Linked DNA regions of Schizosaccharomyces pombe. The protein of the gene in region 1 interacts with the protein of each later gene in a pairwise test. Each region holds a gene or a part of one and is shown on either strand. Other genes may lie near its edges.

What was found. Proteins that work in one complex are often made in the same cells at the same time.
Region 2: the proteins of ppr5 (region 1) and SPOM_SPBC1773.16C interact in a two-hybrid assay, tested with the Schizosaccharomyces pombe proteins (one large-scale study listed by BioGRID).

What each region holds. Positions count from the first base shown.
Region 1 is NC_003424.3:4,602,112-4,612,237, forward strand, and holds ppr5 (PPR repeat-containing protein Ppr5), read left to right. Parts: upstream 1-4,706; 5' UTR 4,707-5,520; coding exon 5,521-9,306; 3' UTR 9,307-9,626; downstream 9,627-10,126. Other genes in the region: protein mug157, read right to left, coding at 1-870, 1,036-1,110; SPOM_SPAC1093.07 (uncharacterized protein), read right to left, coding at 3,796-4,032; pdx3 (pyridoxamine 5'-phosphate oxidase), read left to right, coding at 10,020-10,126. UniProt on the Schizosaccharomyces pombe protein: Mitochondrial RNA-binding protein that acts as a general negative regulator of mitochondrial translation.
Region 2 is NC_003423.3:315,746-323,631, forward strand, and holds SPOM_SPBC1773.16C (transcription factor), read right to left. Parts: upstream 4,821-7,886; 5' UTR 4,736-4,820; coding exon 2,948-4,735; 3' UTR 1,949-2,947; downstream 1-1,948. Other genes in the region: dal52 (dipeptide transmembrane transporter), read left to right, coding at 217-1,710; gor2 (glyoxylate reductase), read right to left, coding at 5,917-6,939.

The sequences.
Region 1 (10,126 bases):
ATGTGAAAGTTCCACAACCATCATGGCATTAGCAGGAATAAAGTATTGTAAAACACAGGCATCATCAGATGGACGAAAAGCACTGCGTATTAAAGATGCATTAGCGTTAAGGGGAAAACCTCTTCCAGCAAGGCCAAGAGTTTCAGTACCAGAATCGGTATTTCGGAGGAAAGTATATACTGGGTCCTTAGGCAAACCGGTCTTTTCGTCAAATGATGGAGAAGACTGCTCTTCTAAAACTTGAATTATGCGTTCAACAGCCGCAAGCCATTTCACAGTAAAAATAGATTGATCCTTCGTATAAAGCCAATAAGTGTAGGAGAGCTTTAAAAATGAAGCCAAGGAATCTAATTCATATTTACACTCAAATACAACTGCTGGATCGTAAGCTGGTGTGACACGATCACTTTGTCCATTGTCGTTTCCTGAAAGAAAGCTTTGTTTAGGAGGCTGAAAAGCGTTACAATAAGGAAACTGGATTAACATTTCAGCTTGCGTTTGTATGGCACCAAGAATCAACGTCGCTAATGGTGAGTCTGATTTAGCTAGAGGTAAGTAAGGCAAAAGCTGGTTTGCAGAATCTCTGATCCATTCGGCAGGAATATCACCAGTGATTACTAGGGTTTGAGGATTATGTGAATCAGCGGCATGCCAACGAATTGTAGTATCAAGAGTATTTGGCATACAATTTTCAAATAAACGTGCTAAATCTTCATCCTCAAGTTGCTCCTTCACATCTTCAATAGTCTGCTCCACCGATTTAGAATGAAACGTACGGCATGATGTTGCTGGTCGTTGAAACGGTAACCTCAAAGGGCCAGTAGCTGGATAATGTCTCCTTCCAGAGTATGTCTTGTAATTAGGACATGCCTAAATAATTGTTAGATTAGAAACACTTGAATTTGTCACCATTTCTCCGAAAGAATCTCAGTAAGGTAGATTTATATTCTTAAGTCGAATAAAATCCATGTTCACAGGCTTACTAAGACTATTCGAGTTATGGTTGAAATAAGCCTAAAAAAAATTTTGTTTTACCTTCCAAGGAATATTAAGATTGTTCGCGAAAGCGATTCCAAATAGGAAAAATAGAATTGCCTGCCAATATTTCATTATCTGGAAAATGACGACGATGTTTGAATGAAATAAAAAATTTAAGTTAAATTTCTAAACATTCAAATCAATTTAATATTGCTATTCGCTACTTTATGGCTTGACGAAGCAAACTGGATGTGAGGTTATGAAAATAAAGTAAGTGTTGACAACTAACAACACGTTCGACTCAATGCGATCATACATTAAGTAAATCGCGTCTGCTCCTCAATTCTAGATACAAAAAGCAAAGTAAGATGGTTCAAAAAACGTAGAAGTATTTTATTAAAAGAAAGATAATAATAATAACAATCAATTTGGAGATGGTATTTATGCAATATCTTCGAGTACACCATTAGAACGATATAAGCTTATTCAGTAGGAAATTCAACAGAAAAATAAATAATTTTGAATAATAGATCACTTGGCAAACAATCGAGAAATATTAACGTACTCGGATTGTGGATGCAAGATATCAAAGCGAAAAAGAAGCAAGCATAAACAAAATTTTCAAATTTATTTTTATATTTGTTATTGAATGTTGTCAAAAAAAATACAATTTAAGACATGCATGCTTTCTTTTCTACAACTGAGCATTTTCCTTAAATTTAAAAGGGTTCTTTGTTTTTTTAGAAGCTATGTTTACTGTCACCTGCATACTTTCAGAAAAAATATAGAAGTTTAATGTTATTCAAATTCTTTCAGTAACATTACAAAAGAATATTAGAATGAAGAAAATTCTATAATATCACACTATCTTGCAGGCATAATTTATAGCAGCCAATTTTTGTATGAAAGCTAATTTAAAATTGGACACTGCATGCAAGTGTTAAATTGCTGTTTAACGTGTATAACCTGAATAACCTAATATCCAAAAATTAGCGATTTCATATATCCAAACTAATATTTGATTGCGAAATTTGTAGATTAAATTATTACTATAATAAATTTCTAAAATTATTTATCAGAAGCTAAATTATTTGAAGTCTTCGGTGGTTGCATTGTATTTTTGAAGTACCGTTTAAAAATGTAAAAAACAAGATATCGGAACAAAACTACATAATGCAATTTTTTTGCTTTATCACCGACTATTTTGTTTCTTGATGATTTTTTTACCCTATTCTTTAATGATTAACAGTTAATGAAGGTCGCAGGCTTTACATTAGCAGCATTATTCCAATATTTAAAAAGTAAACAAATAGATGTGCATAACCAAACAAGGGAACCGTCACATACGTATTTTAAATGAAGAAGGCGATGCGTATATAATTAAATCACAAACATTGTTGCTTGTTTTATGTTGTAATACGTATGAATTATTTTTATTTTTGGTTATTTAAGTAAAAGAAAAATTCGAATACTGCATATTTAAAATATTTAGATGGAAAGGGTTTTACTGCAGTCTAGTATGTTCATTGTAATAGTTTATTTATTTATTAATTTATTTTCTTTTTTTTTTTTTTTTTTTTTTTTTTTGGAAAAAGCTTTGCTTTTCACATATGTTTTAATCAATTTTTCCACACTACAATAATTTTTATACTACAGCACAGAACTCTAAGGTGCTATAACTAAAGAATTACAAATCTGTTTATCATGAACTAATAATTAGAAAAGCATTTACGACAATCACAGGTTGTTGTTAGATATTTTAAAAAAATAAAGGTCACGAATTCTGTTGTATTACAGATTCGTTAAAGGTTCGAATGCGCTACCTTGCTCGGATTAGCGCTTGTACTTAATTGTTAAGATTGCGATTTAGTTTATTGTTCTAAGTGTTATGGTTGTTAGTATAGACCAACAAGACATTCTTTAAAGCTGGCTACAATACTAGTGGGCCGACACTAAGTCAATTGTCGATCTGTGAATCATGACTGGGAAGCAGTGAACAATTAAGAAATATAATAGATAAAGACTGATCTACGGAGTCAATTCTTGATAATATTCATCCTTTTCTCAATACCACGCTAACCTTTATGGCAACCTAGATACTCTTGAAATATTGAACTACAGTGACCTACCATTTATAAATTGTTATATTGCAAATTGCCGATCTATACCGAGAATATCAAAGTAGTGCTGTATATTCAATATACCGAGCACTCGTTCGAGTTTCTACCATTGTAACATATGACTTTTTATCAGATCAACATGATATATGTCAGCAATGATCATTTACAACTCACAGCATACCCCATCGATACATTTTATAATGCCTTTCTTTCCATAAAGTAACGTTTCGATTGGAGGGCTTCCAGAGAGTGAGGCTCAGACAGTAATGGAGGCTTGTGTATTTAAAATCATACCAATGCCATTTGTTTTCCCTCCATACTTCGTGATTCTAAATGATCTGGTTATTTAATGAGTAATTCCGCAAGTTTTCTTTCTAATAAGGTTGAGATACTGTGCGCAGAGGAGCTTGATTATTCTTTAGTGCACTTATTTTAAAAGTACCCGTTTTAAGGTCAATGAATTTTGTTTTGTCTAAAAATGTTTTCTTAGGCGCGAAGTATAGTTTAAAGTTTAGGATTCACGTATTTCTCTAATAATGAAATTCGCCATGTATTTATTTATTTCTGCACCTGTATGCGATTCGTAGGTTTGTCTGCCTACGGGATTTTTCAGCTAGCACAATAGACTCTTACTTCTCATCTCTTGCGTGCTATTTTTGTAATTTCCCACCCTTCCTGAATTTTGCTTAGTCCCAACTTAGGAGTTGTTGGAAAATCTCCTTACCCGATAAAATGTGTTCCTAACCTGTCCCCTTTTACTAGCTGCGGCAAAACTGGCGCTAGTTCCGCTTCTCAAATCTATCTCAATATCGTCCGCCTTCGAATTTGCGTTGGGACGATAAACTTGTCTCAAAAAAATCGATCCACAATTTTTTTTATCTTCTTTTTTCACCGACGAGGCTCGTTTGGTCCACGCTAAAATATTGGTTTCCATATATATACATACCTGACATCCTGACAAACTAACATTCGCTAAATTCGTCGAATTATCAACGGGTGCAGAATATCTTTTACCACATATTTAGCAGCTCCTTATCTTTAAGACTTCTTATTCGGGGTAACGTGACTTTGACTTCATTGTCTCACAAAATTGCTACGACCAACCAACTACAAATATCACTCGTTCAATTTTAAACTTGAACTTGTCGAAAGCCATACTGAATACTCTGTTACTACGTACTAGACAATTGTTGAAATAGATTATTTTCACACTTATTGCCCTGTAACAGCTCGTTTTTCAACAAAACGAAATAATTTTGTTGATTGTGAAAAATTTCCGCTTTTTTTTTTGCGTCGCCATCCTCATCTTTCCCTGTTGGAAGCTTAAACACACGAAACTTGTGCTTGGTGTTTTAATTAATCAAGCACACACTTCCCTTATAGATCTACTTCCTTGCCCTTTTCTGAGGATTCATTAGCTACAGACATATCTGTTATTCATTCAACAAATTCTTGAAGCTCAAATCGCTTTTCTTTTTCCGCATTTTAGATGAACTAAGCATTTAATTATTCTATCATTTTCTCTCCCTTTTTTTTGTTATTCGGTTTAACGTACCTAGGTTTTCTACCCAATCCTCTTTTGTTTGGCACGGTGTATTAGATTTCGTCAGGTTTATTGTTTTTTCCCATCTATTTCTTCATTCATTTATTCCACTCCCCTGCTTCAATTTGATATAACTAAATTACCCTCCTCTTGTAATTTTCATATCGGCGTCTTGTTTCATTTCGCCACTGCTGACGCTTGATCAGATTTAAATCGTCATATATACTCTTCTCCACTTGCCATTAAGACGATCGTACTTTGAAAACATTGTAAAAATTCTACTTTATAAGCAAAGTATTCGAATCGCTTTCTTCATTTGACTTTATTGGAATTTTTATTTGTCTTTGATAATTCAATTGCGAGTGCTAGGATTGCTCTATCTTTTTATTTTTCAATCCTTGAATCTTTACGTACCCTCCAACTAGCACTCCTTTGTTTGCTTTGTGTATATTTCACTCTTATTCTGGTCTATAACGCAGTTCATCTGATAACGGTGATAGGCTCGTCATTACCAGGCGTACATAACACATTCACTTGATTTATTCTATATTTCAAATCTCAGTGACCATTTCATTTAACCTTTGCTGTACTATTTTATAGTCTGTCCTGCTAGTCTTCTTTCCCTGAGTTAGTGGATATTCTGGTTGGTGGTCGGCTATACCGTTTAGCTATACATATCGTTTCCGTTTTTCTCTCTTTTTTATTCATTTCTTGTGTTCTTTGGGTGTTTACTATTCTTTTTATTATTCATTTCATTTGTTTTACGTTTTTTCTATTTATTGTGTCTCTTTTTGGTCTAATTTTTTTTTAGATTGTTTATATCCGTTTTTGTTTATTTTCTAGACTATTATCCCATTTACGCTTAATATTAGTTTCAATATGGTTTACACGAAAGCTTGGTTTTTGCAAAATATTGCCAGACAAACACTTGGCAAAAATGTTGCCGTTCATCGTCCTCCTTTGAAGCTTGGAAATATGACGAATTGGATTCAACAACAACAAGCCCAAACGAACCTCTCTCTCTCTAACACGAAAGCACCTGGTTCATTGGATGAGCGTCTTTTCTTAACTGAGGATGACATTATCTTCCATGACCGTAGTATTCAGCTTGGTTACTTCGATCCTTCTCTTTCTGAGCGTAAGCAATCTCCTCCAGGCAAGTCCCTTCATCGCTTTGTTGACAATCTCAACCCTAACAGCTCACATTTTTCTGCTTCTCTTTTACCTGCTTCTCTCTCGTCACTATGTGACTCGACATGCGGTGATGTAGATGATGAACAACAATTTAACTCTCTCGCAACATCTCCCCTCTCAACTGAAACCCAGTCCGAAGTTTCGGACCCTTTACTGGATACTTTAACTCCTAATTCTTTGGAATCTTCTTTTGCTTCAATTTCTCTGAATTCTTTCACTTCTGCCAATGAGTTTATTCAATTTTTGAAAAGACTTGCTAGTAGTAAATTATCCATTCATACTTTTGATCTGTATAAGCTTGTTCGAAACTCTCCTGAACTATTGACTTTGGAAGCGTACAATATTGTTTTGCAATGCATGAGTACGGACGACTATTTTTTGTCGTCATCAAAAAACATTCAAAAAATTATCAAGGTTTATGTCGATATGCTTAATTCGTTTATCTCTCCAAACGTAACTACATTTGAAACCGTCATTTTCGCTCTTTGTCGTCGCGCTAAATTCGTGCATCAAAAAATTGAATCACTCTCTAAGCGCACTATTTACGCACATCCGAGTATTGCAAAAGAAATACAGCCTGAATTGCTCGATCTGCAATCCGAGATGCCTTTGCAAACTGCTGTTTTCATGTTTACTTCTAGCCTCATTAATCACGATCTCATATACTCTCCTCAATTTTATGCTATTTTAATTGAGAGTGTTTCTTTGTATGGAACGCAAAGCCAATTGGATTCCTTATTAGAGTGCGTTCCTCTTGGCACTATTGAAGCTAACGGCCATCCTGATTTACTCCCAGCTCTAATTAGAGCTCTCGGTAGAGCTAAAAGGCTCAACAGTTGTTTTCAACTTTTAGAGCGTTATAACTTATCTGATCCAACTAGTGACACTTCGATGACTAATGTGCGTTCTTGGGAAGGTTTAATGGAAGCTTATTTTGACACAGATCACCATGTTGAAGCAAGTGCATTGATGAAATCTTTTTTCCGAAAGGCTGATAGCAATCAAGTTATACCGTCTTCAATATTAGACTGCTTTTTACGTAGATTGGCTCAATTAGGACATTATAAGGAATCTGCTGAATGGCTTGGTATGGCTATAGAAAAGATTAGCACTTACAAAGCGAGTCCGTCTACATTATCGTCCATATTGGAGGCGGCTTGTTTGAACAACAACGACAAGTTTGCTATTGCTTTTGTGAGAAAATATACATTATCTCGATTTAGCGACTGTCATGCAGTGCTTCTCCGTTATCTGGACTTGCTTGCCAGATCAGGGAATGTCGATCTACTTCATTTACATGCATATCCCGTTATTTGTTCTGTGTCTTCTCACACTAACTTTACGTTTTCGAACGTTTACAAAGCTTTCATTGAGAACGGAAAGATTGATGTTGCACTTCGTCTACTTCGTAAACACATTGATCCAAAAGTTTCCCTTGGTAACAATACTGCACCATCTTCTAATAGTGTTGCTCTTCAATTATCAATCCTTAATGGATTTTGGGAAGTGTTGACGGAGGAGTTACAAAAAGATGTGCATGTTCTTTTATCGTTGGTTTCAACGTTAGAGAACCAAGTAAACTTCCCTCAAGTTGATTTTACTACTCCGTTGTTACGACATATAACGGGTTACTTAGTTAGCCGTCGCTTAGAACCGGAGCTCATTTCTCCTAGAGTATTTGGCTTTTTGCTGGAATATGCAGCATTCAATGTCGTGCAAACCGAAGGTACTTTCACTTCTAAGGTTATCCTCACTGATTTGTTAAAATGTTACTCCAATGGAACGTATAAAGCATCTTTCAAAAACGTTCATGTTGTTTTACGTTCTTTCACATACCTGAAAGAAGACGAAATGCTGGTTGCATCCGTTCGAGATGACATCGTCTCTGAAGCAGTCGTCGGATTCTCTACTGATAACAATGGACAGAAAATTTTAGCGGATATATCGCAAGTTTGTTATTGCCTTGACGACCTGGAATGCATCGATCAAAGTATAAATTCACTTGTTTCCAAAATGTTAACAAGTGCATCACCTGAGCAGGTGGACGTTAATATATTGTTTTTCCAGTTCGGTAAGCTTATTGAAACCAATAAATTTTTGCATCCTGAAGTTTATCCTACGTTAATATCTGTTTTAAGCAAAAATAAACGTTTTGATGCTGTGCAACGTGTTTTTGAGCATTCCAAGCACCTCTATAGGAAAATCAGTACGAAGTCTCTTGAAAAAGCGAACTGGTTTATGGCGTTGATTTTAGACGCCATGATCTTATCGTCTTCCTTTGCTCGTCAGTTCAAATCTTCAAATCTTTTTTGTGACAATATGAAAATGCTTGGATATATTCCTCGTGCTTCAACTTTCGCACATTTGATTAACAACTCAACAAGGAGAGGAGATACTGATGATGCCACTACCGCTTTGAATATTTTTGAGGAGACCAAACGCCATAATGTGAAACCTTCTGTTTTTCTATATAATGCAGTGCTTTCTAAATTAGGTCGAGCTCGCCGCACAACAGAGTGCTGGAAATTGTTTCAAGAAATGAAGGAATCGGGGTTACTTCCTACCAGCGTTACTTATGGTACCGTAATTAATGCTGCTTGTCGCATTGGTGACGAGAGTCTTGCTGAGAAGCTATTTGCTGAAATGGAAAATCAGCCTAACTATCAACCTCGCGTTGCTCCATACAACACTATGATACAATTTGAGGTCCAGACAATGTTTAATCGTGAAAAAGCGCTATTTTACTACAATAGGCTATGTGCTACCGACATAGAGCCTTCTTCTCATACTTATAAGTTATTGATGGATGCTTATGGTACATTGAAGCCTGTCAATGTAGGTTCCGTAAAGGCAGTTCTTGAACTTATGGAGCGTACAGATGTGCCAATTTTATCTATGCATTATGCTGCATATATTCATATTTTAGGAAACGTTGTTTCGGATGTTCAGGCAGCCACGAGTTGCTACATGAATGCTCTTGCCAAACATGATGCCGGGGAAATTCAACTAGATGCGAACTTATTCCAATCCCAAATTGAATCTCTTATTGCAAATGACCGCATTGTTGAAGGCATTCAAATTGTTTCTGATATGAAGCGTTACAATGTCTCGTTAAATGCATACATTGTAAATGCCCTTATAAAGGGATTTACTAAGGTTGGCATGATTAGCAAAGCACGTTATTACTTCGACCTTTTAGAATGCGAGGGTATGTCTGGTAAGGAACCTAGCACCTATGAAAATATGGTTCGTGCCTACCTAAGTGTAAATGACGGTCGAAAGGCAATGGAAATTGTGGAACAATTGAAACGCAAGCGTTACCCGCTACCGGTTGTTAATCGTATTTCTTCCTTGGTAAATAGCCATATGGGTCAGAAACCTAAACGTCGTTCTTTGAATACTAGTCACTCTTCTCTTGCTTCTTTAGGAAATGCTAGTACCCAACACTCAATTAATAGTTCTATCAATTAGACTGAAATTTGTGTGCTAATTGGATGAGATTTGGGCTATTCTTATATATTATATTTGATTATTGGCATGTATCTTTATTTCGTTCCTTGAAATAATTTTAAGCATCTTTTTTGATGCTATGTAAAATATTTTTATAGATTAATATAGAACTTAGAATTTTATGCATTAAAATGTCTAGAATTTACTTATCGCGTATTCAATTTTACTTTTAACCACTGGACCATTCCTGTACAAACATTGCTGAAATGGTTATGACTACCGCTAAGTAATAAAATTTGGTTCCACACATTACTAGATGATCTAAGTTGAGAACAATGTTGTTACCATGGCATATAGTTGTTAAAAAACTTCAGTTTACATAATACTTTTAAACATTCCCGCTACTGTAGAAGCACTGTTTTAATAAGTGCCCAATTGACATCAGTTACAATTTCAGGGATAAGCTTAAGAATGCTTGAAACTTTGGTATCATGACAGTAACTCTTGGTATCGTTCATGGCAATTTAAAAAGACATAGAATTTGATCGATTTGTGTTAAAATTAACCAGCTCTAGCATGCTGTACCGTATGACACGTCTTTTGCTAGCATTTTCTTTAGTGCGTGATACTGAGTCGTTTCATCGCGTTATATATATATCAAAACAGATATCTCATATAAATTCAGTTACTGCCTGAAACGAGGAAAAGTATCTTTTCCAATCCCGTTTACCACGATGTCTGAAAATACTGATTCCACCCACGAAAAGCTAATTTTTGCACCTTCTCGCTATCAATATGAAAAATCAAGTTTGCACAGAGATGCACTTATGGGAAAAGACCC
Region 2 (7,886 bases), on another chromosome or scaffold:
ATGCTGTAGATACTTGTAAAATAAGTATTTTGCAAACTAATCTGTCAAATTTGTTGACTTGTTGCAGCCCTTTGTCTGCTAAAATCAACATAGTTGTAGCTTATCTGGTTTGTATCAATGATAATGCTTTGACGCTTTCAATTATATAAAGGACGAAGGAAAGTTCAAATATTTATTATTGTGCTTACATTCACAACAATTACTACTAATCTCATCATGGAGAAGACAGAAGAAGAAAATTACAGTATTAAGGAGTTGGGTGAAAAAGGATCAGACAGCCAAGAGGATGTTGCTGTGATTTTTGCAGAGAAACATCCCATTATTGACAAATCGCTAAATCGAAAACTCAAATTAAAGACAGATTTATGGGTTATGCCACTTCTCTGCCTCATTTCAGCATTTCAATATATGGACAAATCCACCAGTAATTATTCATCAATTATGGGTATTCGCACCGATTTAAATATGGTGGGCAATCAATACAATTGGGTTGGTACGTCTTTTTATCTTGGTTTTATGGTATTCTCGTTACCATTATCCACTCTGTTACAAAAATTTCCTCTTAGCAAAGTAACGTCTGCCTTCATTGTGGCCTGGGGTATATTAATGACCTTGACTTGCCTGGTGCATTCTTATGCTTCCTATATCGCTACTCGTACTTTGTTGGGTATATTGGAATCAGTTATTACGCCAGCTTTTGTTTTGTTTATTGCACAATGGTATAGAAAAGAAGAACAATTTTTTCGTATGGCATTCCTTGTAGCCTGGAATGGACTTGGTGGTCTTATTGGAGGAAGTATGTCTTACGGCTTGTATAAACGAGAGCTTGAAAACAATTTAACCATGTCCCCTTGGAGAATCTTATTTATTATCACTGGATTGATTACCATAATTAACGGGGTTTTCATATTTATTCACATTCCCGATGAACCCTCCAAAGCTTGGTTCTTGAGTGAAAAGGAAAAGGATCTTGTCCTCAAGCGTTTAGACACTGATCATGCAGGGCTTGGCAGCAAAAAGTTTAAGAAATACCAAATATTGGAAGCTTGTCGAGATGTACGTATGTACTTATACTTTTTCCTACAAATAGCCGTTGCTATCCCTAATGGTGGGCTTTCAAATTTTAGTAGCATCATGTTAAAGAATCTTGGCTACGTAAAAGGTAAGGCATTGCTTATGAATATGCCCACTTCCTCCATTTCGTTTGCTGCCTTAACTTTGTTTGGCCTTATCCCAGAGTTTACGAATAGACGAATGGATATTGCTTTGGTTGGCCTGGCTATTAACTTAACTTCCGGATCACTTATTGCATTTGCAAAACCTACACATGCACAACTTGCAGGATACTGGTTGTTTGGCATTTCACCAATTCCATATATTTGCATCCTTAGCTGCATTTCGTCTAATAGCGCAGGCCACACCAAAAAAGTTTTTATGAGCGCTGTTTCCATGATTGGATATTGCGTTGGAAATATGGTCGGCCCCCAAACATTTAGGTCTACACAAGCTCCAAAATACCAAGGAGCTAAAGTATCATTTGTCGTTTGTTATTGCGTTGCTATATTTATTATTATTGCTATTTATGCCGTTAATGTGCGAGAGAATCGCAGAAGGGATGAAAAAAACGAATATTTATCAAATGAATTGAGTGAGGAAGACAAAAAGGATTTGACCGACTTTGAAAATCCCGAATTTCGTTATTCTATTTAATTTTCTATTGATTTTTTTGTTTTTTTACTGTTTTTTACCGGTGTGCATTGATGAAGGAATAATAATTAGTCAATTCTTTTAGTCAAGTTATTAGTATATTGTAAACCTCTTTACTAGATCCCCTATTACCTTCTTTAGTTAATTAATAAATTGGAACTTGTGTTTTTTTCTTAATTATAAAAGAACAGGTCACGTACACTATTCCTAGTTCTATTAGTCTAATTTTTGTATCAAATTGTATACCCGTTTGTTGATTTAAGTGGGAAATATCAATTGGGTATGTTAATAGACATGTAAGCATTTTCGTTTGTACAATGCTGAGGTAGAATTATTCCTGATTTCTTAAGCATCACTAGCCAGAATGATGATGGTTTAATACCCGTTTGACGAAGACCTATAAGTTCTTAAAGTATTTGACATATAATTTTTGTCACTATGAACCTACAAATGAATTTCTGTAACGTCCAACAAATAGCATCGGTTCTTCTATCGATATTTACTTATTATACTGATTATCCTGTCTATTGAAATCCACTGTATTGACAACACTAAATAAGATGATGAGTGTCTTAAACTATGCATGTCCTTAACGAAGATTCGGTCAATTGGTTGTAATATTTTCGACTTCTCTTTAATAATTTACCAGTAGCTAGTTTACTATAATAATAAAAATCATTCCCATGTTGTGGTCCACAATGAATATTAAAAATGGTTGTTTACAGTATTATTGATCATGAATGATAGCATCGCAGACTCAAGCCAGCTCAAGAACTGTTTATCAATAACCGAAAACAACCAATATATTAAAAGTACTAGAAAATTCTAAAAAGTGATGACCTGGGCGTATAGGACAACCAGTCTAAGTAAGCATTAATTTTTCAAATTTACGAAGTCGTTGGCTAATTATAACATAACATATGAGCTATAAGTTATTTCATGTTCTCGCTAAATTGGAAAACCCGCAAACCGTCAGATTAGAAATTGTTGAGATAATATTGCCCGGTGAATGAATCGATCAAAAAATGTTAAAGTGATAATATATATTGATTAAAACCATTATATTGTACATAGAATCCTCACGACATAAATATTTTCCGATACTTGTCGTCAAAGTAAATTAACTTGCCATATATATATCAAGCATGCGCTTTGAAAACAGTAAGCGATAAGAACACGATACAGTAAGCATTCAAATAAAAGGACATATTTAAGCCTTTAAATTATTAGTATATAAATATTAAATTGAAAAACTTTCGCTCAAGGCATCAAATGTCCCAAACACACTTGTATTTTGCAGCGCAAGATATTGCTCAGCCGATTGAATAAAATTCTCAGTAATAACTGATAACCTCTCAGCAAATTCTCCACTGATATCTTTCATTTTTAAAAAAAAAGCATGAATAGAGTATAACCGATCAACGTCCTTGACGCATATATCAGCGTCCAAGTCGTCGTCTTCCAAAAGATGTGAAAAAACCGTCAAAAAAGGTGTAAACGGACAATAAAGAAACAGCCAAAGATAACAAATATTTTTTGAAATAGGATCAAGAACCACCAAAAATCCCTTAATAACGTCAATAGCTGCTCTAGCCGTGCTTAAACAAATTTTTGATCCTTCAATGCTATCGTCCGCGAGATATAAATAAATAAGTGTATTGCAATATGACAGATATATTTCCACGCAAGCTGTAAAAAAATGTTGCTTAATAATATCCAGTTCTTCGGGCAGCCCGTTACCTGCCTTAAGTATCTCAAAATAATGCTTCATTTCAGAAGGAATGGCTCTTTCAAAATTCAATATCTTTGTTTGAATGTTAGATATCACACCCTTTTGACCTTTGTCTAAAAAAACATTATTACTATTGTAGAGCTTAGTCCTTATTTCGTGTTTCAAAACGGTTAACGATATTTCACATGTAAATATTAAATCTCCTTGGACGTTTTCAGCAAAACAATGAGCATAATTAATGTCAGGGTATTTGCACTCAATTTCCAGATCTCCCAAAACGGGAGGGGTTCCGAAAATCAAGGATGTGGTAGTTTCAAAAATGTAGCATACCCAAAATATTCGTCTATGCAATTCTGCCATATCTTGGTCAAGATCTTTGTCTGTACTTTCTTTGTGTAAATTTAAATCCTTAACCATCAAACAAACTTGACCGCAAAGTTTTTTGCAGAGATTGTACAACGACAGATGACTTGCGAACTGAATCATGATCACTAATGCTTGAATTTTTTCGAGTTGCGGTGTGAGAAAAAAGCCAGGTCTTTGAATTAGAAACCAGGAAGTAGCAAAAAAAGACTCCGCCAATTTACTATTATCGACTCTTTTGTCTCGAGATACAGCCAAAGCCAAAATAGCATAGAACGAGACAATCCAGGCACCCTTGACCAAATTCTTGTCTATATATAACTTTTCAAAGCTTTCCATGTACTGTTTCTTATAAAATATAGGCCAATTACAATTGATAAATCTGAAATACCAATCCAAGCATGTTTTAGCCCAATCTTTGTCTGGAACATCTCGAAAGGCACTTTTCCAAGTAGGAAAGCTATGGGGGAATAAATCGTTGCTGCTAAATCCATTAGAAAAAAAATTGGTTCTCATAGTGTATGCCTGCAATTTTGAATCCACGAGAGCCCCTGCACTCAAAATCTGTGAAACCAAAGATGGAAAACCCCCGGGTTTCACTTTCCTCTCTGAGTCCTGCTGAGATCTTAATAAAGAGAAAAGAGCCTCTAGCTTTAATTCGAAATTATCAAAACGTTTATCCAAAGCTTTAACAGCATTTTTCAACTCATTGATTTCATTCTCTTCGTCGTTATCATGATCTGAAGTGCTGAGCGGAGTGTAGAGTATAGGATACCTTTCGTTTTCTTGTACTGCTGCTCGATTGTCATGTTTAACCCGCTTAACATAACGACACTCTTCGCCATATACCATACAATTTTGGCAAGTTAATTCACCATTGCATCTTAGCTTCTTACGCCTGCACAATTCACAAGCATTTCTGATCCTTTTCATTTAAAAATGTGAGTCTTTTTTAGTTATATATTTATGCTTAATCTTGTCAATTGCTGTATATATTAAACACAGACTAGTTGCGAATGAGTTTTGCTGTGGGCTTTACGAATGGTCCATATTGATAACTCAACCTAGTCACACAAGTTTGATAAAGGGTAACCAGTCGATACTATTCTGGTTGAAAAAAAAAAAAAAGTTTAATAGTAATCAATATGAAAGATGTCGGACATTTTGCAGATAATCAAACACGATATTGAAGCAACCCATCTTTAGCTGCAGTTGATAAGATGAAAACTACATAGCTCATTAGATTATACCATTTTAAACATGTCTTTACCGTATAGATATTACGAAGTTAAAAAAAAGAGGCATTTTTCTTAAATTGAGGAAAGAATTAAATTTGTACGTTGATAAACGCCAGTTTCGTCGAAGTGAAATTGAACTTACTCAAGCCAAAACTAGGAACTAGTCTGCCTGACTTTATGGTTCTACGTATGCTTATATAAATAATACGAACTAGAAATATTTTCTTCATCTAATGACTAGTTTATGAATTGATATTGAATGAAATGGAATATTTTATGCACACGCGGGAGGATATCAGTTCGGAACCAAAATATTCTGACTAATACGAACACTTAGATAGACATTTATCGAAGGATCGATTCATGTACCATACCATTTTAAATTGGCAACAGCAGTTTGTAGTAGCCTGATATCTAAAAGATTATAGCAGTTTATGATTTTAGCCTTAGATCTAAGATAATTCGACTTGCCAATTTAATCACCGTTGCTAGCATCCTACTATAAAATTATGCGAGCATGTCTAGTATACGCACGCAAAGATAAATATCTTCCAAATCCTTGAAATGGAATCAGATATTCAATTTTTCTGTAAAGTCCCATTTTGGAAAATGAACTTCTACTTTTACTTTTCCCTGAGAGGAGGAGCATCTTAACAAGTGAATAATAAATAGTTAGCTTTAAAAAATAAGGATGTGATAATCTTTTCAACTATGTAAGTTTGAACAGGCTGACCCAAAAAGCAGCATTCAAAATGACAGAATCTCTCATATGTATTCTTTACAGATACGTGCTCACAAAAAGCAACAACATAAAAATGAATATTTTTTATTAACATATACTTTACTTGTGTAGATGTAAAGGACTTTTGACTTGCATCAACAACCATTCATGCCGAACGGACCGTTGACTGGATTGGTGGGGATTCCTGTATCAAGAAATGTTTCAATACTTGCTAAAACACATTCCTCTGTTTTAGCAACCGTAAAATTGGTATATACACCACAATGTGGTTGGATGGTTACTTTATCGCATTCCAACCAAAATTTATTGGGAGTAGGTTCATTCAAAAACACGTCGAGACCTGCACGAGCAACTTTGCCAGATTTTATAGCCTTGATAAAGGCATCTTCATTAATTATTGCACCACGAGCTGTGTTAATAATATAAACTCCATCCTTCATTTTTTCAAATTCCTTCGTGGATATTAAATCGTGAGTTGCTGGGGTAAGAGGGCAATTAATGCTAATTACATCACTAGAGCTTAGCAGTTCATCGAAAGAAACAAAAGACGCACCTAGTCTTTTCTCTTCCTCTGCCTCCAGGCGATTTCTATTATGATATACAATTTCACAACCTAGAGGAAGAATTTTTTGAGCAAAAGATTTGCCAATTGCGCCCATCCCAATAATGCCCACTCGTTTTCCATATGGATCGTCCGTCAGCGATAAGTTTTGACGCCATTTGCCAAGGCGAAGACTTTGTTCTGCCTCTCGAGCTCCACGGAGTGTACACATAAAGAGCATTAAATTCATATTTGCTGTTCCCTCTGTAGGTCCGTTTGGAGTATTTGCGACGTAAACACCATTTCTTGTAGCCCAGTCGACATCAACATTATTGTAACCAGCAGCACCAGTTACGAACAATTTACAAGTGGGAAGTAAAGGCCCCAGCATTTCTTCCGTAAATGGCGAAATGGCTGCATTTCTGAATAACCAAAAGCAAGCATCAAATGTAGATTTTGAGGCAGCTTCGTGAATTTTTTCTATCGTTTTGGATCGATCGTGTGGATCTGGAACGATAAACTCAAAATGATACTTTTCAGATAATCTTTTCAACGTGTTTGTAGCAAATTTTAGTTCGCCAATTGCTAAAACGCGCTTCGTTCGCGATTGCTTCATTTAAATTAATAAATGGATAAAACAAAGTCGTGTTTAAGTAAACGAATTTTCCCTTAAAAATGATTGAGGGTTAAAAGCTGGGAATGAGAGTTGCTAGTAATTTATACGGTTAATTAATTATATACAAAAAAATCACCGAATGATCGTTTTTTTAAAAAAGACACAGCACTTTGGAAAACAGGCCTTTTCACCACTGTGGCATATTGGTAAATTTCATATTAATTCTGCTCAATTAATACACCGGTAAATCAGTTCGATGAAATGATAACGATCTTGTCTATGATTAGTTTGATCATGGGACAAGCATAGATAAGATATTTGTTAATCTGAGAAATAAATTAGTGACTCGATGGATTTCCTTAATCTTCATATCGTAAATGAAGGAGGAGCCAACATAATTTTAACGAGGTTCGTTAAATGAAACTATAGATTTGCGGACTTGGTTTATATTATTATTCATTATTAATATAGAAATTGAATAGAATACGAGAATTCCCTTGCGTATGGTATTATTTATTATTCCAAGTTAAATTGCTTGTTGAATTTTTAATCCATAAATTATATCCAATAACATCTGGCAATATCGAGTTATCGATGTTTGTTCAGGAGGACTGATATCAAATAACAATTCATTTGTCAGCGATGACAAACAGTTGTATCAATATGATATTGTTAATATTTATTAATGGAAAAGTAAAAATGATAAAGATCTTTTTTCGGATTGATGGCTCGTCGCACTTGTCAAGTATATAAGCAAAAATAGATAAGATACAAACGATGGCTGTTATGCATCCGTGGGTGAAAGTGAAAGAAAAACAAATTATTAATTCTTACCACGGAGGAAAAATCTAAAAAGGTATCAAAAATAAGGACGATGGTTATCTTTTTTTCGTTGTATGATGGAAATTGACAATATTTTTTTTTTTACAGTTATTTTTCTCGTTCAT